4 linked regions of the Drosophila melanogaster genome follow. The protein of the gene in region 3 interacts with the protein of the main gene of each other region in a pairwise test. Each region holds a gene or a part of one and is shown on either strand. Other genes may lie near its edges.

Region 1 (4,955 bases), on a different chromosome or scaffold from region 3:
CGGACACGTTTGGATTGAGGGTGACAACAAGGGAAACAGCTCGGATTCCCGCTACTACGGACCCATTCCGGTGGGCCTCATCCGGAGCCGCGTGCTCTGCCGCATCTGGCCGATATCCGAGGCCACGGGTCTATAGATGGCATTCGTACAACAAAGAGTTTAAAATCAACTTGACCCAATAAATGGCCTATGTTTCGTTTGGAAATTATAGTACATCAAACCACAACTTTTTAGAATCATTACGTATGCGAGTTTCGTCTCATTTGTGCGACTTCTGGTTTTTGCATATCATTGAAAATAAGTTGAAAAAAACAGGAGAGAATAATAATTTCTTTTCATTTTTGTTTTTAATAAACATATTTTTCAAAGTATGAAGCTTACATCCTTAATCCTTATTGGCTTACCTTCTAAGGAAGTATTTACCATGTTTGGGCGTCATATTCAAAATAATGCCATATTTTAAATTATTGGCGTTTCTAAAAATGGTATCAAAAGAAAAGCTTTTGTAAAAGGCTGTGTGAGCTTTAATTGATATATGCATATAATTATATACAAAAAAATTCATTTATTGACTACATTGTGAACATTTGAATGCGCAGTTGTGATGCTGCTGGCTTTTGGAAGAAAGGACTTTATAAAAATTGCACTAAGGATTTGGCCATTGCACCGACAAGTCTCACGAATTCTTTTTATCCTGCTGCTCCTGTGGCTGCTCCCGATCCACGTAATACAGATTGTATTTCTTCTTTAGCACCTGATGCACTTCGTCGCGACAGGTGAGGGTCAGGCCGCGCTTCTGGTAGTCCAAAAAGGTGCAGACGAACTGCCTGTTCGTCTCGTGGACCTGCGGATGCTTCAGATACTCCGCGATGGGCATCCACTGGATGCGCGCTATCTCGCGTTCGCAGCGCGTAAAGTCCAAATTCAGTGGCTTTAGGGCGATGACCACGTACATGTCGGAGCAGCCGAAGGTGCCGCCATGGGCATGCCGCAGACTGACCACTGAGCGGAATTCGGTGCGGATTCCCGTCTCCTCGGCCACCTCTCGTATTGCCGCATCGATGAGATTCTCCCGCGGCTCCACATAGCCGCCGGGCAGCTTCCAGCTGTTTGGTATCATTGCAAAACGATCGGACACCACCAGCACCTCGTCCTGTTCGTTGATAACCAGTCCGCCGACGCCCATTAGCGTGTGGGCGTAGGTGGGTAGGTTGCTAGACTCGTGCTCCGGCAACCAGCGGTACATGACCACCACACCGGTCTTGGCATGATGGAAATCAAAGCCGTTCTCCGCCAGAATGGGCACCCAATCAGCCTGCTCCTTGTACACGCGGAACCAAATGGCCCGGTTCTTGTTCGTCGTCCAAAAGTCCAGGGATTCTAAAAGGTATTTCGTTATTAATATAATTTGGTAATTGGTGACACAGATTTAATTAAAATTATAAGCCGTTTATTGTCTATGACTATTTATAGTCATAGACAACTTTTAAATTGATAAAAGTGGAGAGCAATGATTTTGGAAATTTAATTTAGTACCCCAACTTTAGATAGATAAACTTTTAATCAACTTATGATAGCACGAAGACTTAGAAGATACAATGATACAAAAAATATACGTCCAGGCAAAGATACCGACATATTTTAAGATATATATTCTTACTTGTGAGCTTGTCCCGGAAACTGGATTTGTCCACGTTCTCCTCGCGCCCATCGACTGTTACTCCGGCAAATCGATCCGTAATGCCGCGGAATACATCCGCCGGCGTGTCCATGGTTTTGGAGCTAAATCGTGGGATACAAATAGTTTTCAATCATGTGTTAAATACATATGTATGTACATCTTTCAATTCTTACGACGAGTATGCTCTTGTAAATTGCTGCTGTGACTGAAGCTTTAATGGAACTCTGGCGGCAACCGTGGATGTGGGTCGTTTTCTAGCGGTCCGGAGGAGTGTGCTCCATGAATTGAACGCCGGCTGGTTAAGTACGGTTCTGCGAGCCAGAAAACCGGTGGCCAACATTAAATAATCTCACAGTTCGACGAACACAACGTTGTTGATGACGACGACGGCGATCGACCACGTTGGCGTCACTACTAGTTCGCAACCGGAGATCTGGGTGCTGTCCGCTTGGTGGGCGTGGCGGAGGCGGTGGCGGCGACAACGACTTTACCGTCTCAGTTTATCCACAATGCGAGGTGAAGCCAATTCCTGGGCATGCTGTGTGTGTGTGTGAAACGAGGCAAACAGACAGGTGAAAGAGGTGAAATAGCCGCATGGCTCCAAACAACGATGCAAATCTGCTGCGATGGGCGGAGCAGAGCGAGACGGAGGAGCAGGTTGCCACTATCTGCCGCCGTCGCTAGATAAGCGATATGGCCGCTGTTACGTTCGGATTTCTGTTCTTGACATTTCGAATTTGGCGCTAACGTCAGTAACAAATAGTGGCGATAGAGATGCGCAGAACAGTGTGACTTTGACAGAAAACCGGTGACATGAGTATAATGAAACTAAAATATAGATTCAACTGAAAGTATCACTATATATGTACATATATATAAAAAACTGTGTTATCACTATACTAATACTAATACTAATATTAATGGCAATCACGATAGCAGTCACTGCTTCCTGCTCATCTCTAGCGCAACCTTGAGCGACAACCCAAGGTGCGTGTGGGTGGTGGGTGGCGGTGTTGGGGTGTGGGGTCGTTTCAATTGTTTCCGCATGGGTTTTGTGTTTGTTTATCAACTGAATTGCTGCTGTTATCAACGCGCCAGAGAATTGATACGCGTTTTACATAACAAACCAAGCCAAATATATTTTTTTTTATTCCATATCTGCGCTAGAATAGAACATTGTGTGGAACTCGAACTCACTAGAAAAGTCAATGGCTAATGGTGTCACTGAGCCAATCCGTCCAGTTCCTCCAGACGACTAATTACAGATCCGATCCAATGTAGCCATGGACTTTGGCATAAACAAGCGAATAGAGCAGCGCGCGATTTCAATTCGCTTCCACTTCCACTAGCACGTTAATTTCTAGGGATGGCGCGCACACAGAAAAGTCAGTCAGCTGATCCGGCAGTGCTGCCAGCCTGGCTAGAAAAAGCTGTTCAGCCTTATATGTAATGGTTAAAAATCAAATATGAGCAAACCAACATTTTTTAAATATATGGCCTCCGGAACAATTTATTAAATCTTGAAATAGCTAATATGGGTTATATAAGTTACTGGCTAGCGGCTTGGCTAATATATCGAATGTTTCCATCCTTTAGATGGCCAAAAGAGCTTAAGTTCGCTGGTCGTCGGCTTCGTTGCGGGAAAATTCGCTGCTGTCATCGCTATTTATCGCGCTCTTGGTATGCGTGCAGTCCTTCCTACAATAATATAGTAATAGTCACAGTCAATGCCAGGAAGGACAATGCTGCATAAGTAGTAGCATAAGTAATGATTAATTCAATTGGGAAATTTTTGATGAGTACGCAAAACATCTAACGCTATTCTAATAAGAAATGCGACCAGCTTTAGAATTAACATTCTGATTAGCAGAGGGTTGAAGTCGTTCTTAAAGACGGCTAAAAGTAGACTACAAAATATTTAAATGCAAGAGGAATTCAATAATCCTAGAACTTAAACTAAGCTTTTCAAATTTGAATGGAAATGTGGAATAAATACCGTATATGTAGCATTCGATGCCGATCTCCTAGTCTCTATCTCTAATCGGTTCGACGTGGCCACGTTCGGCCAGATGCAGCAGATCCTCGATGCCCTGCCTGCGGAGCATGCGGCGATGATTCTTGAAGAACGATATCACCTTCTTGGACTGTGGAGCCCGCATCCGTCTCTTGACCGTCATCGTTGGTCATCTTGGAGCTACTGTTCCATTTTTAATTTTTTCGCCTTTTTACTTTACTTGAATACGAAAAGAAACATATCTGTATAAATCGTTTTAATAGGCCAATAGGTGCCTTCAAATTCTATAGTTGAGATCCTTTGAAACTTTATTTTCATATATAACTAAATATCCTCTTTGGCTGCGCGCCCAGTTTGGCCCATTTCTCTCCTCTTCACTTATTTTATTTTATTTAATTTGATTTTTTTTTTTTGAAATCGAAATAGTTGCGCAATTGAGGGCGAGTCCTTTGTGCGAGTCCAGTGATTTGGAAAGGGCTATTTAGAGCAACAAAGCGCCAGCGACCAGGAATCCTGGGGAATCAGGAACCAGTTAGCAGTTTAGAGCGCGATTGAAGGGATTACGAGTAGAAAGGATCGTAAATGTGTTGCGAAATGCACATTTAAACCGTGACTCACCAGGGGGGTGGTAGTTGTGTGTGTGTGGGGGGGGGAGGTGTGTGTGTGTGTGTGTGGTGGTATGTCCTTGTGCCATAAATTCAGGTGCTTCAGTTGGACAACAATGGTACTCGTTGAGTTTCGCCTGATGTTTGTATTTTGATTGCCGGCTTAGCAATTTTCAATTTCTTTTTGTTTTTTGGGGGGGAAATTCCCAAAAAAAAAAAAATATGCGAAGAGGGAGTACATAAAAAAGTTACCCCTCTCCAGCGGGCGATATTTGCTCAGTTGTTTAAACAAATTTTCCGCTTAGGGTTGCTAACCAACCTCCTGTTTGCACACAATGGATTTCCATGCCGTGGCTTAAGTGAAAATGCCATCTCAAATATTTATTAAAAAATCTATGGCTGTTTGGGGACACGTACATATACACACATATATATATATATATATATCTATTTTCCATCGCCGGCTTATCGAAAACTTCAACTCCAATGTCGAAGTTGGTGGAAAATCGGGGTTATTAGGTTCCCAGGCGCGATCTTCGTCAACCCTTTTCTTTGTATTTCCTTCACTATTTTGCGCGCACCCGGAAAATTCTTGTTTGTAATTAGGGAGTTTTCCTTATCATTTATACCCGTAATGCCCTCGGCATTCAGCATT
Region 2 (7,967 bases), about 25 Mb from region 3:
ACTCGCGTAAGTAGTTCCCACCGTCTTCAATGATATATTTCCTTTTTGATTTGAATTTAATTTGTTTAGATGTTGCAACCCTGCAAAAACGGTGTCCTCAGTTGTTGGAGCTTGATCTATCTGATTGCAATAGTCTAACACCAACAGTCATTACTGCAATTATGAAGTTCAAGATGCTGGAATATTTGTCCGTCTCCCGATGCTATCTTATTCCAGCAACCAAATTTATGTAAGATTTTTCCAGCAAGCGTCTGATTAATCCCTACCCAGTCATTTTCCTTGCAGTGAACTTAAGAGTATGCCCTCGCTAACCTATTTAGACATATTTGGGATGCTGTCGGACACTGCAATGGAAGTCCTTGAGAAACAACTGCCAAAAATGGGTATAAACAAATTCATTCACAGTTCGGTATCCCGCCCGACTGTTGGCACGCGACGCACCTCCATTTGGGGTCTGCGCACGCGCGACTAAGTCTCGACTCTGCTGCTTCCGTTACCATTTGAATTTGTTTTGCTGCGTAAGCCACCCGTAACGCAGTTATTTTATTCTCAATTCAACAACATAAATAATCACATTTAGCTGTTCTTATTTTTGTGCGTTTGGTCACTGATCCGCTTCGCTAAGGGGCTCCACTGGTTTCTCCCATTCCCATTCCTCCCAGTTGACGCAGTTCTTGAGACTATCCATGAATCCTGTTTCGCTGGGGCACTTGATTTCAATGGCTGGTTTGTTAAGTGTCTCACACTTCCAATACGATGTGGCATCCCAATTGTTGCGGAAAACTACAATGTCTAGCTCGGCTTGGGTCTTGCAACCCGGCTGTCCGTCACCATCATAGGCGAGGGCAATGCCAAAAGAAATCACTAGTAGGGAGGTTAGAGCGAGCTGAACCTTCATCTTTCAAAAAATGTTCTATGGTCTACTGGAAGTACTCGAAGCCTTTTATAGTTACATAGTTGCAGCGGTATAGTATCCAAGTGCAGCTACTACCAGAAAATGCTTTTATAAATTGGCATTAATGTAAACACTCGAGAGAGGAAGGAAAAGATAACAGTACTTGCCCTTGACTCCAATCTGTTCAAACTAAAAAAGGTACAATGAGTCACCCAATTTTCCATTTAAAAATTCATTGTTTTTATACTATATTAAATATTTAAGAAAATAAACAAAAAATATGTCTTTTATCAAGGAAAGCATAATCAAGCCAATTCAAAACAAAATCATATAGGGAAACGACAAATATAAATATTTTCGATCTAGTTCGTAATCATAGGTTCAAGAACAAAGTTCGTATTGGACAGCCTGCCAAATTTAAAGATTCAGCAATATAAAAGTAACTAAAGCAAGAGAGAAGGCTATGGTCGAGTTCCTCGACTATCAGATACCCGTCACCCGTGGCAACATGGGTCAACTAACTTGCGCTGGGTATTTGTCTCTAGAATCTGTATGCTTAATCTCAACCTTCTAGCTTTTATAGTTCCTGAGATCTCGACTTTCATACGGACAGACGTACATGGCCAGATCGGCTATTGATCCTGGTCAAGAATATATGTACTTCATATGGTCGGGAACGCTTCCTTCTGCCTGTTTCAACGAATCTAGTATACTCTATTACTCTACGAGTAACGGGTAGAAATATAAAATTGAAACTATTTTGAGTCATCCCTCCAATTGGTAATTTTTTTATATATTAACGGAAATTTAAAGTGCGTTACAAAAGTAAAAATTCTTTTGGTGCTAGTATGCTTAACGGGGTGGACATTTCGGCGTTTTCCACACTTCTTGGGAAATCACTTTAGACAAATTTGTACCAATGTCGGTACTTAATAGTATTTAACTATAACTTACCTTTTGCCTTTGGTGTGAATAGGCTATTAAGCCAAAGAGTAAACATTCGTCGATTGTAACTCCCTTGTCATCGATGTTGGCCAATACGTGACAACATCGATAGTATCGATAACTATCAGGTTCAGGTTCGCCTGTATTGCACTATTTTGCTTCACACACGTAATTTCGGAATTTGCCAGAAAAACACCGATCTGCTATTGATCTTAGTCCAAAATTGCGTTTTTAAGTCGAAAAGACACTTTTCGGCTTTTAGATGGATGAAGACTCGGCTACGATACAGCTGGGGGATAGGCGTCTCGGTAACGCGGTCGATCATGATCTGCTTCCAGGGCCACCCGGCGTCGATGAGAAAAGCGGAAACGAGAACTGCGAGCCCAGGAGCAGTGGGTCGGGAAAGCGCGGCAAGTCGAATTCCAGGCGCCGTTCCACATCCCGTGGTCGGTCGGATTCCCGCAACACATCGCCGTCGAACACCCGGCGAAGGCATTCCCTGTCCCGCTCGCTGACTCCACCGCGTCGTCGTTACGATTCGCCCGATTATGGGCGGTACTCCCGACGGCGCTTTGATCGTGATCGGCGACGCTCCCCCGAACGCCGGCGCTCTCCGCCACGTCGCGGACGACGGTACGGACGATCCCGGTCCCGCAGCATGTCGCCCCGACGGGGAGGTCGATGGTCACCAAAAAAAAAACCGTCGTCGCCGCCAGTGCCCCCTCCGCATGGAGGACCACATCCTCAAATGACCCCTGGCTATGGAGCTATGGCCGCACATATCTACGGATCATACGTCGCTCCACCAGATGTTTACGGTCACCAATATGGAATTCCGCCTAACTCGTTTCCACCTCAGGGACCGGGGTACGGTATTCCAGGTGCCCCGCCGGACCAAAGCTCTTTTGGCTCTGGCTACGGTCCGCCTCCCACAAGCGCGTGGGACGTAAATGGTACGTTTCTAGACATTTAACGCCAAAAGCCCTTCATTTATTAAGCATATTATTTCCTGCAGTGTACGGTCAGCAGGTGTGGATTAACCAGCCTATTTCTGGGGTCCAGCCATCCGCTTCAGACTCCCTGATCCAGCCACAGAAGGCCCGCGAAACTCTCTCTGGCAAGACGATAGGCGAGGAGCAGTCGGTGCCAGCGCTCGAAGGCGCAGGTTTGACGCCTCAGGATGGTAAGTGTGGAAATGAATTACAATGTGATCACTACGAACATTCACATGCAAACCTCTCACATTGTTTTATTACTGTTGTCATGATTACTTGTACTTGTAACTTAATTGCGCGCAAATGAATCGCATACCAGAAATTACCAAAAGTCTAGGGTAAAGATCAGATTAATCAGAATCTAGAAGTACACGCGCTGCAAGAACTAACCAAGACCAACCCGAGCGATAGTCTCGAAATGTTAATTCGTTTCAAAAAGAAAATGCAGAGTTTCCGTTTTTGTGTGGCAGTCGAAACAAACAATTACGCCAACCTGGACGACCGCCGCCCCAACTGGCTCTTCATTCAACGAGGACTGGCAGAACAAGCAATCACGGCGACTGCATCCGAGTGTAATTAGCCGATGAAATGCACTCGAGAATGCATTTGTAAATGAAATTTTAACTTTTATTTATCTAGGAAGAATGTTTATTAATTAAAACCTATATATTTATCCCCCATATATATACCGTCGATCGGCAGCTGTTGCCCAAGAAGCGGAGAAGCAAAAGGACGAGCTTAAGAAACAGCGCGCTAACTATGTCAAAAAGGTATCGCTGCTCAAGAAGGAAATGAAAGTACTTAAGGACCAGCGCGAGGACCTGGCAGCAGGCGATGCCCCACCCTCGCCAACCACAAAGAATTTCATCGAAGAAAACGACCGCCTGCAGGTGAATTGGGATCCCAAAACCTTATCTGTTAGCCACTCTATGTAACCTGTTTTCATCCTGTATAGATGCAAATTAAGAAGAAACTTGACACAATTGAAAACGTTATAGATATGCTGAACGGCATAATTGGCTACGAAGAAGTTGAAGATGAACCATCTAACCAAAAGTCCCATGGCAAGACTCAACCGGAACAACAGGATAGTCGCTCGCACTCCTCCAGTGAGAGTTCTGCAGATAGCTCTGAATCCAGCTCATCATCTAGTACTGCTTCCGATTCGTCATCCGATAACGAAGACGGGGAAGGGGCAGGCGGCGCCGTAGGAAGTCCAACCAATCGGCTAAAGCACCGCGCCATAAAGTCGATGAAGTCAAAGCAGCTACATGGTGAAATGAAGGCAGTGCCAACCCAAGCACAAAATTACAATTTTGTGTTTTTCGATCCCGAGCAGCATTGGTGCGAGAGCTGTGGAGTTTTTCCAAAGTCTGCTCGAGACTATTTAAAGCACTTGCATGCCGAGGAACACATGAATCGAGAAACCATAGAAACTCCGTGGCATGTGGGTATTGACCACGATCCCTTTCCCACATTTGAAAACGCACCTGCCAGGCGCGTCCCCGTGAGGGGCATGCAATTTCTGGTGCCGGCTAACGCTTGGTTTTGCAAGCTCTGCAGTGTTTGGATTGGAGACTTGCACTGCGCTTCTGCTCATCTTAAGTCTAGGCTTCACTCCAATAAGTATCAGGTGAGTAGTAATATACATCTTTTAAAGCTCTTATGAAATATTTACTGTCACAAATATTCTTTACCATGTTAATTTAGGGTTTTGTATTTAATTAATAAAATATATATATTAAATATAAAAATACGGAGCTTGTAGGGCTGGTGGATAGAAGTACTTCCCAAAAACAAAATTGAAACAATAGTTTTGTTAAGATTGAACGTTATTTACATATCGTGAAATCATTTCTACGTTTAGCTTACATCAAAAGTTTTGTGTGTTAAATTTGCACTTAAGATATTTAGGTAAATTACGTTATTCACTTGTGCTTTCATGCATAAAAAAAGTTCGGATTTCAGGCATTTGCCATTCGCACATAATATCAGCTGTCACTACCCTTGGCAATGATGTAGTGTATGAGCAGAACAAGTTTGAAGATTGCTCCAATTGTCAACTTTTTTTTTTGCTGTAAAGTTGGCTTTTACCTTTGTGTCAATTTATTAATTATTAAATTGGCTTATTTTTAAAAGGTTAATTCTTCTTTTCCTTCCCAGCAACAAAATTTAATGGTAAGATGGGAATGTGAATGTAAATGGAGTAGCCAACATGTGCTTTAAATATATTGTTAGTACTTATGTAATCTTACTACAATCATAAGTTAACAATAAATAAATGGAAGCCTATAGAGGCATGTCCGTTTGTATGAACATCGAATTTTTGGGAACTATAAAAGATACCTAAGCATGCAGATTCTATTGAGGTTTTCGTGGCGTAAGTTTCTTTTAGAACATTGTCACACCACAAAGGCCACAAACGGTGGCTATTCTATGGTATTTGACGCCCAAAAACTGTCTCGCCCACACTTTTTAAAAATTTCATTATACCCGTTACTCGTAGTAAAAGGGTATACTAGATTCGTTGAAAAGTATGTTACAGGTCGGACTCGTTTGTGGCCATATAAAATAAGGATATTCCTGATCAAGATCACTAGCCGAGTCTGGCCATGTCCGCCTGTCAGTCCGTTTGTATGAACGTCGAGATCTCAGAAACTATAAGAAAAACTTCGAGAAGATTTAAGTTTATTCATTTCCCAATTTCTATCGACATGCCAAAAAAAATTTTATAGCTCTCGTTCGCACTTCCACTGAGTCACCAAAGGGTATCTAATAGTCGGGGACCACTCTTGTCAAAACTAACATAGGCCTTCCACTTACCTTTCTCGTATATATTTTATAATTGCTTTTATTAATTCTTCGCCTCATGCAATTATTCTCCTGTCAATTTGGAATATATTATTGACTTTTTGTACCCGTGCATTGCAGCAATTTTTAAATCAGAACCCCAACTATGAAATAGAGTGGCAAACAAACCGCGAGCGGGCCATGAATCAACAGAAAGATCACGATGATGCCAAGAATAAAAAGTCCAAGAAAGACGAGGACAAGGCGTCCAAAAAGAGGAAAAAAAAGGGGTAAGGGTCATAAGAATAATTTGAATCCAGATTATATTTTATATTTGTTTCTTTTTTACAAACAGCGGGGACAAAAAAAAAAAGAAGCGCAAGCACGGAAAGAAGAGCAAACGTAGTACAATAGATGCAAACAGCACATCGTCATCCTCCGATAGCTCTTCGTCGGAAGAGGAAAATGGACAGCAACCAAAGAAAGGTCGTACCGAACAGCAACCAATTTGTCAATCAGATAAGTCGACTAATGCAGCATCAATACGAGTGGCCATGAGAAAGCAGGAAAGCACACCAACAAATTTGAAGCCGGAAGTGCCTTGTCAGCCTGTGGTGCCGCCACCGCCACCGATCATAAAGGATTCCACAATTCCTTCAGAACGGGGTAAATGGACTGCCGCCAGTGTCGAAGACCAAAGTAAGGATCAAAAGAACCGGGATGATACCATGCTCAAGCAATGGAATAATGTGCAGCCTGTTATAAGTGAGAGTGAAAAAAAGTTGTTGGAGCAGCTTAAAGGAAGGCTGAAGAACAAGGGAGCCCGCGACCAGAACAACCACAAAGCAGTACCAACAGAAGCGAATGATGAAAAGTTTAGGCGGGGTGGAGGACGTCATTCTCGTTCACGTTCTAAGCGGCGCAGCTACTCTCGAAGCATAAGTCGCGGGCGGGATCGAGATCGGCGGGATCGTGAGCGAGATAGAGACCGTGGTCGTAGGCGTCGGTCACGCAGTCGTGGCCGACACTTCTCTCGTTCGCCCATAAGATCTAGTCGAAGAAGTCGATCCCGTCAGGGCCGAAGTCGACGCAGTCGTAGTCGCTCTATTGAACGGGTAGAGCGTCCCGTGGTCAAGCATTCCGAGTTTCGGCCCCGTACTGTGCCGGAACGCAAGCAAACTGATATAAAGCGCGACAAGAAGGATGCAGAAAGCAAGTCAAAGTCATCCAAGCCCAGTAACAATTCCTTGCCTGGAGGCAAAAAACTACCTTTCATCGGTAAGATGCCAGTATTTAAAAAGCAGTCTGTTCCATCTTTCAACTATGATGCTTCTGCTGTCTACACCAACGGCTGTTTGGAGGCACCACCTCCACCGCCACCTCCATTGGGCGGAGCGACAAGTCAGATAGCTGTGCGTCAACAAGCACCGACAGCTGCGCAGATTCAGATGGCAATGATGGAAGATGCTTTTGGCAATGCTCCCCCATTTCATCCAGATGCGGGTATGATGGTAGATTACGATGAGCTAATGCCAGATCCTGTCCAGTTCGCCAATTTAATGACGAGCTGCCCACCACCTCCGCCGCCTGGAGAAGGCTCTGAAGGTGATGCCCATGGCCCTGAGGATGGCGATCAGCATGACAACGAAAACCGAGAGGACGTCTTGCCCCCAGGCATTGATGAAGCTGAATCTGCCCTGGTACCGCATCCGTTAGACGCTGCGGCACAATCCCGAGACGGGGAACTCCCAAAGGACCTGGTCGAAGCGCTTGACATAATATTCCCCAGCGACGTAGCGATTTTGGAGGCATCAAATGGAAACAGTGAAAAGCAGGAAGATGTGACTATCACCACCATTGTTGAAGATGACGCAGTGCTCAGTGTGATTCATCTTCAAGATTTAGCTAAAGAGGGTATTCACCTTGTAACTATCAATGAAGCAGAGGTACCTAAAAAGTCACATATTCAAACATCGGAGAAGATTGAAAAGTTGCAGGATTTAAATGGCAAATCGGACGACGGAGTAAACATAAAACTGATTGACGCAGAGGATATCCCAATGCCGAATTCGCCTCCGGCTGAGCCGTCATTTGACGAGGAGACGAAAAGCAAGGCCTTACAGAAGCAAGCTGATATCTCAGAAATACCAGAGCCGGCTGTATCGCCTTCAGACAGTGAGAAGCTTCGTCGTCAGTCGGAGCTTGACGAGTTGGCTATGCTGGGAATCGACAGGAGTGACATGGCGGCACAATGTATGTAGAACGTGTCTTTCTTTGCTATGTATATTATTCTTTTTTTTTAATTAAATTAGAAACTGTGCTATTTGAGTCTTAAATGAGTT
Region 3 (5,025 bases):
CACTGCGTTTTATGCCGTACACGGATGATTGGATAGTCGTTGAGTACTTTGTCGATCACGACAGCGATTATCTAGTAAGCATGTATGTTGTGCTATCAATCGAACCCACCCACCTCCCCTTCCCCTTCTCCTCCTTTTGACTAACCTATCGTTCCTTACTTTTGTGTGCGTCTTGCAGTACACCCTATTCTCGAGTGGATCGGTGAAGTGATCAGCGCGCTATCATGATCGTTCGCCGCTGCACTCGATCCCTCTCTACTTTCTTATCTATGCGGCGTTGAGTTGAGCTAAATTTGTCATTAGATGTGTCACATTGCTCTGGTTCTTGGTCTTCTGGTACAGTGATTACATGGGAAAGTCACTGTAATCAGTGTAACTGAATATGGAAATAAATGCTTCAGGGCTTCAAGAGGCGGAGCACTTGAGTGAGCAGCATGAGTTGATAAGATAGTACTTGAAACAAAGTAACTTGGTTGGGCAAGGCCTTTAAACTGTGTCGAAATTCAGAAACTTAGATGTTACATAATTACAAATAACTATTGGTTTTGTTATTCAAGTGTAGGTTTGAAAAAAAACAGTAGCCACTTTAAATATAATCAAAATTTTAAGAGATAATCATTTTTTAAAAGCTTAGAGCGGAAACTCGGTTTGAGCTGTATTCATCAGTAATAAAATGGTACTTAAATAGAGCAGTTAAGCGAAACCTTGGCAATATTCATGTGCAAATTAAGCAATTTCTATGCGTTCTTCGTGGCATCTAGCTGTATGAAAAACAGCTCTCAATTAAACGAGAACTTTATAGTTCTCATTCACTGTTGGTGGTTCTTTATAGCTACCCCTGTGCCCAACACTCCCCGCTGTTCTAGTTATTTTCGTTCAATTGATCATTTGACATTAACTCGTTGACGGCGGCCAGAGTTTTCTTTGCTGCTCTGAGATGTGATGAGATATTGCTATTGCTGCTGCGGATGATGCGAACTGCTCCTCGCCAGCATTGCCAGTTGCCCATGTCGCCGCCAATTAAGTGGGCTGAGTAACTCGCATAGAATTCCCTCCGCGTCATCGTTTAGTCCCCAGGCCGCCAAGATTCAGTATTTTAAGCAGTTGGAGCAGCAGCTCATCATCCGGAATGGGGCGAATGGCTGTGGCCTGGAAACATATCTGGAGGAGGATGCTTCACCCGGTGACGGAGAGAGCGTGGCCATTACCCGCTGCCTGCTGCTAAAACGGCAACGTAATCACTTTGATCTTGTGGCCCTCAGCGATATGCCTGTGGACAAGTACGCCGGCGACAATTGGATCATCGAGGAGTACTTTGTGGACCACAATGACGACTATCTAGTGAGTCGTCCCCATTCCGAGTCACAGATTGTCGGCGAATATCTTTCGTTTTCTCGTGATGCATTGTCGGTCCTACAATTTTATAGGAACACAACCTTTTTTCAAAAATATTGTGGAAAAAAATATGTACAGTAGTAATTGTAATCCTAACAAATTCCCTTCGTTGTTTTAAACTAAAATTGTTAGTTATAATCTGTATATGTGATATATGTACACATGTCGATTCAAGTCAAATGGTCGTCCATATATTATTCGAATTTCTGCAAACACAAATGTTAAGTCTTCTGGAAATTTTGGCATGATTTATTGGCAATGCTACTGCTTTGACCGCCGCTATATACACCGATTTTACACGGTGCCCACTCACTCTCCCTGTCTATATCATGCCCCCAAATACACACATGTTTATGGGCTCCCGAGAGCGACGCCTTGGGGATTCCTCTCCGCACTGTGCGCATGTTCGTCTAAACTACCTATGGCCCATGGCGCACAGCTGATACTTCTTTCTCGGAGATGCGCGCGCAGCTTCATCCGGCGGAAAAGCATCTACTTGCCATTTGCTCCGTGGCCATTGGAAAATTATAAATACACGCGCCGCCGAAAGTCTGCGCTCTTCTCATCTGCGGCCAGTTTTCGGCTGAGAATTTTCAAATTCGAGGAAACCGAAACAGATTGAAATCTACGTTTGTTGGCTGTGTGTCGCCGCCACTGCTGCCATATAAACCATATAAACTACATATTGTCGTCGCTTCGTCTTCGTCGTGTAACGGTACGGGTACCACGGGGATCCCCCGCACACTCGCTGTCTCTCTCTATCCGGTCAGATCCCCCCGATCTCTATATTGATCGTCTCCTTTCGCGCAATTTGTTTATCGATGTGTGTGTGTGCGTGTGTGGTGTGTGTGCGTTTCTTGTGCTTTGAATATTCCTTTTCTTTTTGTATTTGGCTGAGAAACACCAAATAATCGAATAGAACAATAATTAGAGGTACATACGGAGCGTATGTGCAATATAGAAACGCATTTCGGAACGATAGGATAGGTAGAACAATTGCTGGGCACCGTGACATAATCAAGCGCAAGAACAAAAAACAACCCAAAACTTAGAACATTTAAGTGTTTTAAAAATAAAACAGTAGCAGTGCGGCAAGAACAAAATTGTCGAAAGCGAAAAAAACATCAAACAAAACACTGAGTGTTAAAAAAAAGTGCGCGATATTCATCGGACTGTATTTGTTTAAACAAAACGCGATGCAAGATACCATAGCCAAACTGTTTTATTGACCCCCCGCCAATGGTGGCGAGTGTATAATTCGGAATAATATCAAGTGGGATACCATCCAGCCTGATGAGCAGCTGTGAAACGTCCAAAACGCTGATAGTGAACTTTGCACTTCTCCACCAAGTTTGCAATTAGCGAGGCGAAAGATACTTTTAATAGAAATAGCGTATGGGGATGGAGGAGACTAGTGCAACATTCACTCAATCGAATACACAGATAGAAATGAAGATAGTTTAAAAACATTTTGGACTATGGAATGATATATATCTTCAAACCATATTTCTTTGTTAACTATGTTCCAAAAGTTTAAGGGTCAACAAGTAAAAACAGTTTAGTTACTATTGTGCTTAGATAATATGGTGAATATGTTTTCTGTGTACTCGGAGATGAAGGCGAAGAAGACAACGCAGCGGCCAAGCAAATCAAAACAAAAACTCAAAACTAACAAATGGAGCACACACGTGTGTGTCCGTTAGTGTGTGTGCCACATAGATACAAACTATCTATATGTGCGCTACAGATCGGCGGGATTATTCATCAGGCTGCCACATCATCATCATGTTGATCTCCGCCGCTCCGGCGTCTCCTTCCGCTGCCCTCCATCCTCCACTTTCCGCTTAGCTGGCGTTTTCTATAATTTTCGAAAGCTATTTTCGTAAGGCTTGCATTTATATTTAGTTGCCACAACAAACTTATAGCAAAAATCCAAGACACAAACTTGTACATGATTAAATTTTGGCCATATGATGATGCCAACCAAAATAAAAGTCAACTGGGGTGGAAAACTTTTCCCCTTCAGATTTTCCAACTCGAATGTGTGTGCTTTCGGTACAGTGAAAGCTAAGCCAGAGCTCAGCAAAGATCAGAAAATTAATGGAAACTCAAAGTGAATTAAAAAATCCAATCAGTCGAATGTGATTATCAGAGATCAGAGATGCATCTTCCAAATGAGAGCTGTCAGTTCAATTTGCATGGCTGATCGAGGTTTCACTGTACTGGCACTAGCGTCACACGTACTGTGTACTAGGTATAACGTCGTCCATTTGTTAAAAATAAAAACAGATTTCGAACCGAACACAGAATGGCAGGGAAAGATGCCCAATGAACCCCACCGAGATATCACACATAGGCTAAAACGATCTCTCCAGGGATATTCACACATATTCCACACATCGCAATAGATTTAGGGCAAGGTGCAGATCTTTTGGCTAGAATCGCAAAGGGGTAGGGGGTTTGCTTTTTGATGAGGCGGCGCCGCGATCAATGAGCTCATTGCTGTTTACGATTTGTAATTTGTATATGTCTCTGCTCTATATACCAAAACAAATTGGGGGTGCTATACATGCTTGTACCCATATATATGTCGGATGTATATGGGCGCCAAAAAGAAGCAGTCTTTGGTCGAACGGCGACCATTGATACAATTAGTAAGTCAAGTCGTCGGGCATTTGCCAAAATGCCAATGAGACATTGACATTGAGCGTGCGATCGATTGTTCCGATCCGATCTGATCCGAATAGAACCAATACGAAATAATCCGATGTTGCGCAGGTTTCCTTTGGGGCCAACATTGGCAGCCTCGCGAGTCTTGCCCAGCTAGTCGAACCCAACGCAATTCGAGGGAGCCGCCAGTGCAATATTAGATAATCGAGTAATTTTTCCCCTTGGGATCCAGAAAGAAAGCTGACAATCAACCGAAAAGTTCACCACACCCCTTGGAATGTCCAACGAACTTAGCGAACTGATCGCCCTTGGCTGTCCAGACCTCGCGGCGCAAAAGCCGCAGGGCGGTAGCACCCAGGTGGAGTTGATCCTCAATACTGAGCGCCGCCTGAGCATAAAGCAGATGACGGCCACGGATTTGGCCACACTTAGGGCAGCAGCAGCCGCAGAAGCGGAGGCCAGATCTCGAGCACAGGCGGAGGCGGAAGCTCTAGCAATTGCCCAGGAACAGTTTCGTCAGGCCCGCGAGGCCGAGTCCAAGGCCAGAGCACGTGCTGCCCTCGAGGTGCAGGCTCAGCTGCAGCGGGTGATGGAGAGCGAGAAACGCAGGCAACAGGAAGAGGAGGAACGGCGCATCAGGCAACAGGCAGAGGAGGAGCAGGAGGATGATGAAGACGACGACAACGATGAGGAAGAGGAACTAACCAAGGGTTCCCTTCCAACCAATTCAGGTCCAAGAGAACGCATTGCTTCGCTACCCTGCAACATAGATGATGCCATGGAGATGCACCTTCTTAACGTTTCGCAGCCGAAGGCCTCTTCCAAAGATGACTCACCGCCTAAGAAGAGTACCTCTCACATAGCTGACTCGATTGAGCTGCTGAGAATGCAGCGAGCTGCTCGGGATGCCCGTTCCCACAATCGTAGTCGAGAGCGTTCCATTTCGCCAGATCGTAATCG
Region 4 (5,703 bases), about 17 Mb from region 3:
ATCAGAAAGGGCTATGGAAGAAGAGGAATATCTAATAACTTCTAATAATATCGTGTAATTAACGAACCAAGTGCGATCTTTGCATTCACTAGAACATCAGTAAGATTATGCACATCTTTTGTGGCTTTACGCAACTCCTTTGTGAACGCCATGTCTACGAATTCCACATCCTCCACATTCTCGGAGACCTGACTGTCCGCTATTGTTTCTTCGCTCGCTGACATGTTTCTTTTGCGCAGCTATTGTTCCCAATTACAAAGTAAAATATATTCCTTATCTACGTGATATTTGCAAAATACGCCGTCTTTGTTTTGTTTTGAACTCCACGCCAGTGTGGCTGTCTAACTAAAATATACTGAAATTAAACGTAAATATACCAAATTGCTTTATAGCACCAGCGGGCATTTCAGAGTCGCCTGCAACTGGCCATACTGTTGATTTGGCTGTAGTTGCTCCGCTTATTTTTATTTTGTTTAGTAATTTAGGAAAGTAATAGTTTAAGATCAAAGTGTTAAAACCGCAATAATTGTAAGTGTTGCATGCGCTAAGAGCAACTGCTAAGTAACACTTTAGTTTTAGTAAACACACAAAGCGACGGATTCTTAAGACCGCACGCGTGAAATTGACCACTCTATTCTTTTACTTACATTTCGCTTTGCAACCAAACACCCACGCACACACAATCACCGACTGCAGTTGAGAAAGCAGGAGGACACACAACATAAGCAGCAACAACAACAAGTACACTAACGCTTTTGGCTTTGGTTCTGCACTCTTACCCACTCCCCAAAAATCCGCCCAACTTACTGTACTTTCCCCAAACACTTCCAACCAACCGACCTACCACCCACTTGATTTGACTCTGAAGAAACCCAAAAGCAATGTCGGATCTCTTTACCACTTTCGATAGCAACGGCGTCGCCGAGCACCACCTGCACCACAACCACAACTCCACATCGTCCGCCAGCGGACTGCTCCACGACCCACCCATGGCCTCGCCCTCCCAGCACAGTCCGATGACCAACAACAGCAACTCATCCTCGCAGAACGGCGGACCGGTTTCCGGTTTGGGTACGGGAACGGGCCCCATATCTGGTGGTAGCAAGTCATCCAATCACACATCATCCGCCGCCGGTTCCGAGAACACTCCCGTAAGATGCGTGCCTTATGGAGTGCACACGGAATACGCCAGGGTCTAGTTTAACTCTCTTCCGAATTACAGATGCTTACCAAACCGCGTCTCACAGAGCTCGTCCGAGAGGTGGATACCACCACGCAGCTGGACGAGGATGTTGAGGAGCTTCTGCTTCAGATCATCGACGACTTTGTCGAGGACACCGTCAAGTCGACGAGCGCCTTCGCCAAGCACCGAAAGTCTAACAAGATCGAGGTGCGCGACGTGCAGCTGCACTTTGAGCGGAAGTACAACATGTGGATACCCGGCTTCGGTACGGACGAACTGCGTCCCTACAAGCGGGCAGCTGTCACGGAGGCGCACAAACAGCGCCTTGCCCTCATACGGAAAACGATCAAGAAATACTAGAGGATTGGATCTAATCGGGTCGAGGCTCTGTTTCGGTTTGCCGGATTTCGCGTATGCTAAACGTGCACACGCCACAAACTAATTTAAGCTCCAATTTAGATTAAATAACAAATTATCGTCGCTCTATTGTAGATTTATTGTAATAAAAGTGCACTATTGATTTCACATTCAACAATTGGTCACCGTCAGCAGTAAATTTTAAGTCGTGATTTTTTAATCACAGTTTCTAATGGTTCTGTAATATTTGTATTAATTGTTTGTCTGGTGGATATTGATTTATATTTTTCATAATTTAACAATTTCTTCAGTTTATTTTAAAAATATTTGTGTAATATTTCCCTTTGAAAATAATTAGCGGACTCTGCTGAACGCACCCAATTAATTGCTGTATTTTTTAACAACGTGGTATTTTTTTAATGACCGAACGGTATTTTCCATCTCTCGCATCAAGGTCATACCATCAATAATGTTGATTTTCTGATTGTTGATTTAAAATTAAAAAAGCTTTCAATTGGCCAAAACAAATTTGTTCGCCATGAAGCTGCCGGTGATTTGTCGCACGTGCGACTCCACGGACACCGACAACCTTCTGAAGCTGGCCACGCCCTCGAAAAAGTATCCGGACAAGTTGCTTTCGGAGATTTTATGCGAGCTAACCGAAATCAATGTAAACAAAGTTCTAAGAAGCGAAATCTACGAAAAATGCAAACTAAAATGAAACATTTACCTTTCAGCTGGATGCAACTGGTAGTCAGAAATTTCCGCAATGCTTGTGCAGTGGATGCACCAAAAAATTAATGGGTGCCTATTGCTATGTGAAGCAGGCGATGGCCGCCAACGAACTTCTAATGAAGCATCTAAAGAACGGTGCTGCTCCAACGTCAACCGACTGTCTGCAGGAGGCGCCGATGGAGCTGTGTGCTGAGCAGCATGTGGAAGTCAAGCTGGAGACTGAGGATGAGGACTGTGGCGAAAATGATGTTACTATCACTTGTTCCGAACTACCGGAACCGGACGAAACGGACATGGAGAGCAAAAAGTCGGTGGACCCACTGACCATGATTGAAACGGTGAAGCTGGAAATGGAACCCAGAAGCGTGGAGAAGCCAGCGTATGACGATCCCACATCGGACTTTGAAGACGAAGAGTGGGTGACAATTGGAATTTCCCAACTACTTTATTTTAACTAACTAATCTTGCAGCTCCCTGGATAATTTGCCACTGTATAATCGCATTCAAAAGTGGAAAACAGGAAGAAAGTCTGTATATAAATGTCACGACTGCCCTAGGAGTTTTAAACGATTCGACTTCTTGAAACGCCATGAAATGCGCGTCCATAAGCCAGAAACTCGATTATATGACTGCTCCCTTTGCATTCGCAAGTTCAGCCGCAGCGAAGCCCTCGAAGCACACCTAAAAATTCACCGGAATTCAAAACGATCGGCCAACATTAGCGAGCACAAGAAGGCCAAGGCTGTGGATTTGAATCTCTGCAAACCGCATGGCTACAAGCTGATTGAGTGCATGATCTGTCAGAGCCAATACAACAAGATTGCTGATCTGCGCCGGCATTTGGAGGAGCACCCCGATATTGTTAGCCTGTGCGGTCGGCCAAATATGGAGCCCCATGAGCTGGCAGAGCTGTTTTATCCCGATTCAAAGGACCTCAGTGAGGAGCAGTTAATCAACTTGATTCGCAAGGATCTAGCGGCGGGTATCTATCAGCGTTTCTATTCGATAACGAACCAAAGTGGCTACGAAATGGATCTGGACAGCTCGGAGACGGACAGCGACCTGGACGGAGATCACGATGACCAGCACAAGAGGCGAAAGAAGTCGCGCAAAGCCACCTACAGCTGCGAGCTGTGCCAGCAAAAGTTCCCGCGAAAATATCAGCTTTATGACCATCAGCGACAAAGTCACAGTTGGTCAGACGCTCCTCACGTCTGCGGGCGATGTGATGGACGTTTTGTAAGTCTGCAGCTGCTGCGCCACCACAACGAGTCGCAGTGTAGGAATGCACAAAAGCGATTTCTCTGCCACAAATGCCCGCTACGCTTTCGCTGGAAACACAACCTGAAAACACACTTCCGCGAACACAGGATTACAGTAAGTTAATCTAAGAATTGTTCAGGCTACAGACCCATTGCATCTATGAATTTTACAGAATCAAACGTTTGAATGTTCCGAGTGCAAACGGGTCTTTGATAAAAAGAAATCCCTCACCGTTCACCTGCTTAGCGTACATGCGGAGGAATCCAAGCTGATTCCCTGCCAGTGGTGCAGTCGCAAATTCTATCGGCACGACTACTTGGTAAAACACTTGAAGCGACACGGTTTGAAAGAGCATGACATTCCCTTGGCAGAAACATTGATTGCTGCCACCTCGCGGCCAAACGGAGCGAAGCGCATTACTTGCCGCATGTGCAATCTGCATTTCGAGCGTATTGTTGATCTGCGAGCCCATATCCAGTTGGAGCTTAAGCTATCCCTGTCGCTACACCAGAGCTACGACTCCCCGCATAATTATTCAATAACAAACGAATCTGGCTTTGAGCTGCAGCTGGAGGATTCGGAAACCGAAGACGAGATGCAGCCCGGTGTGGGCAGTCGCCCCGTATATATTTGCGAGCTGTGCAGCGTGCAGTGCAAGCGGAAGTTCGAAATGATCCAGCATCAGCGGACGATGCATCGCTTTGACAAAATGCCACACGAATGCGACGACTGCATCTTTAAATGTGTCTCCAAGGTGAGGTTTTAAATGTGTATTCTACATTTAACCAGTATAGATACATTATGTCAATTTCATTATTGCTTCAGAGCATTATGGACCACCACCGGCAAGGTCAGTGTAGTAGTACAGAAAAGAAGCATGCATGTGGCAAGTGTTCCTACAAGTTTATGTGGCCAGAGAACCTAGAGCAGCACATTCTCCTGCAACACAGCAAGTCTTCCGTCAGCAATCCGACTGGCGACAGACACACGCAAGGGACCGGTGACCTGGAAAAGGATGCCACTGAGGACGGAATACCGCTGCTACAGTGTCCACACTGCGATCGCACGTACCAGATGAAGTCGCGCCTGAACAATCATATTCGCGATGTGCACATTAACGGCGACCGCAAGCGCAAGGAGGCAATTAAGCGCTTCCTCTGCTCCCTGTGCGGAATGGAGACGAGATCAGCCGCCGCTCTTGTGACCCATATGCGACGCCACACTGGCGAGAAGCCCTTCAAGTGCGATCTGTGCGAAATGGCCTTTCCCCGCCACTCAGAGCTGGCCTCGCACCGCCGGATGCACACCGGCGAGAAGCCATTCCACTGCACCGTCTGTGGCAAGGACTTTGCCCGCTCCGATAAGCTCAAGCGCCATATGCTTACGCACAGCGGCCTAAAGCCGCACAAATGCACCTACTGCGAGAAGAGTTACCGTCAGGCCAAGGACCTGAAGCTTCATCTCCAGCAGCACACCGGCGAATGTCCTTTCGTGTGCGGCACCTGTGGCGAGCGCTTCATCCAGAGCAGCACGCTGGAGAAGCATCGGTTGATGCGGCGTCACTTCGACGAGGTGGAAGCGTGGCTGAGACGCCAAAAGTAAGGGGCTCTTGCAATAAATACAATTTGGTCTAGTATAAAAGGAATGACATTATTATTTATTGGTCGTGGCGTGGCATCACTTCAGAAACAAGACAAATTACTACTTTAAATATTTGAGCATTAAATGTTTATGACTTTAGTTGAAAGTAAACTTTGGGTGTAGCATGGAATGCCTATTTGTGGCCCTATTCGCTTTACAGCTCTTCAGATCCAGAGCGCGGTTCGATTTTTACCAACTCCGTATCGAAGACGAGCACCGCATTGGGGGGAATCTTTCCGCCACCCGCTCCACTGGCTCCGTATCCCAGCTCAGGCGGAATCGTCAGCTTTCGCTGCTCACCCTCACACATACCAAGGATTCCCTGATCCCAGCCCTTGATCACCTGCCGAGCTCCCAGGGTAAAGGAGAAGGGAGTGCCGCGGGAGTAGCTGCTATCGAACTCTGTTCCATCCTGCAGTGCTCCCTAGAATGATTCCAAATTCGGGGTTAGGTCGGCTAGAGATCTTCCTTATCTGATTTCCCTTACTCTGTAGTGCACGTGGACGAGATCGCCGCCCTTGGCC

The links.
Region 1: the proteins of Doa (region 3) and CG8128 interact in a two-hybrid assay, tested with the Drosophila melanogaster proteins (one large-scale study listed by BioGRID).
Region 2: the proteins of Doa (region 3) and CG9776 interact in a two-hybrid assay, tested with the Drosophila melanogaster proteins (one large-scale study listed by BioGRID).
Region 4: the proteins of Doa (region 3) and CG18476 interact in a two-hybrid assay, tested with the Drosophila melanogaster proteins (one large-scale study listed by BioGRID).

The regions. Positions count from the first base shown.
Region 1 is NC_004354.4:15,695,587-15,700,541, reverse strand, and holds CG8128 (uncharacterized protein), read right to left. Parts: upstream 3,049-4,955; 5' UTR 2,879-3,048; intron 2,510-2,878; exon of another isoform or gene 2,220-2,509; 5' UTR 2,022-2,219; coding exon 1,855-2,021; intron 1,783-1,854; coding exon 1,661-1,782; intron 1,381-1,660; coding exon 677-1,380; 3' UTR 508-676; downstream 1-507. Other genes in the region: CG9240 (uncharacterized protein), read left to right, coding at 1-136.
Region 2 is NT_033777.3:4,328,048-4,336,014, reverse strand, and holds the start of CG9776 (uncharacterized protein), read left to right. Parts: upstream 1-1,943; 5' UTR 1,944-2,102; coding exon 2,103-2,793; intron 2,794-2,855; coding exon 2,856-3,023; intron 3,024-3,537; coding exon 3,538-3,725; intron 3,726-3,790; coding exon 3,791-4,468; intron 4,469-4,968; exon of another isoform or gene 4,969-5,010; coding exon of another isoform or gene 5,011-5,013; intron 5,014-5,766; coding exon 5,767-5,915; intron 5,916-5,980; coding exon 5,981-7,878; coding exon of another isoform or gene 7,879-7,886; exon of another isoform or gene 7,887-7,958; intron 7,959-7,967. Other genes in the region: Skp2 (S-phase kinase-associated protein 2), read left to right, coding at 1-6, 70-229, 286-472; CG14645 (uncharacterized protein), read right to left, coding at 605-898.
Region 3 is NT_033777.3:28,901,466-28,906,490, forward strand, and holds the start of Doa (darkener of apricot), read left to right. Parts: upstream 1-2,012; 5' UTR 2,013-2,110; intron 2,111-4,173; exon of another isoform or gene 4,174-4,297; 5' UTR 4,298-4,342; coding exon 4,343-5,025. UniProt on the Drosophila melanogaster protein: Dual specificity kinase involved in the negative regulation of microtubule-based transport through phsophorylation of the microtuble-binding protein eEF1gamma.
Region 4 is NT_033777.3:11,674,392-11,680,094, reverse strand, and holds CG18476 (uncharacterized protein), read left to right. Parts: upstream 1-1,978; 5' UTR 1,979-2,078; coding exon 2,079-2,210; intron 2,211-2,277; coding exon 2,278-2,690; intron 2,691-2,745; coding exon 2,746-3,652; intron 3,653-3,710; coding exon 3,711-4,292; intron 4,293-4,363; coding exon 4,364-5,140; 3' UTR 5,141-5,175; downstream 5,176-5,703. Other genes in the region: Ho (heme oxygenase), read right to left, coding at 1-11, 68-224; Taf12 (TBP-associated factor 12), read left to right, coding at 882-1,151, 1,223-1,543; CG14715 (uncharacterized protein), read right to left, coding at 5,334-5,603, 5,667-5,703.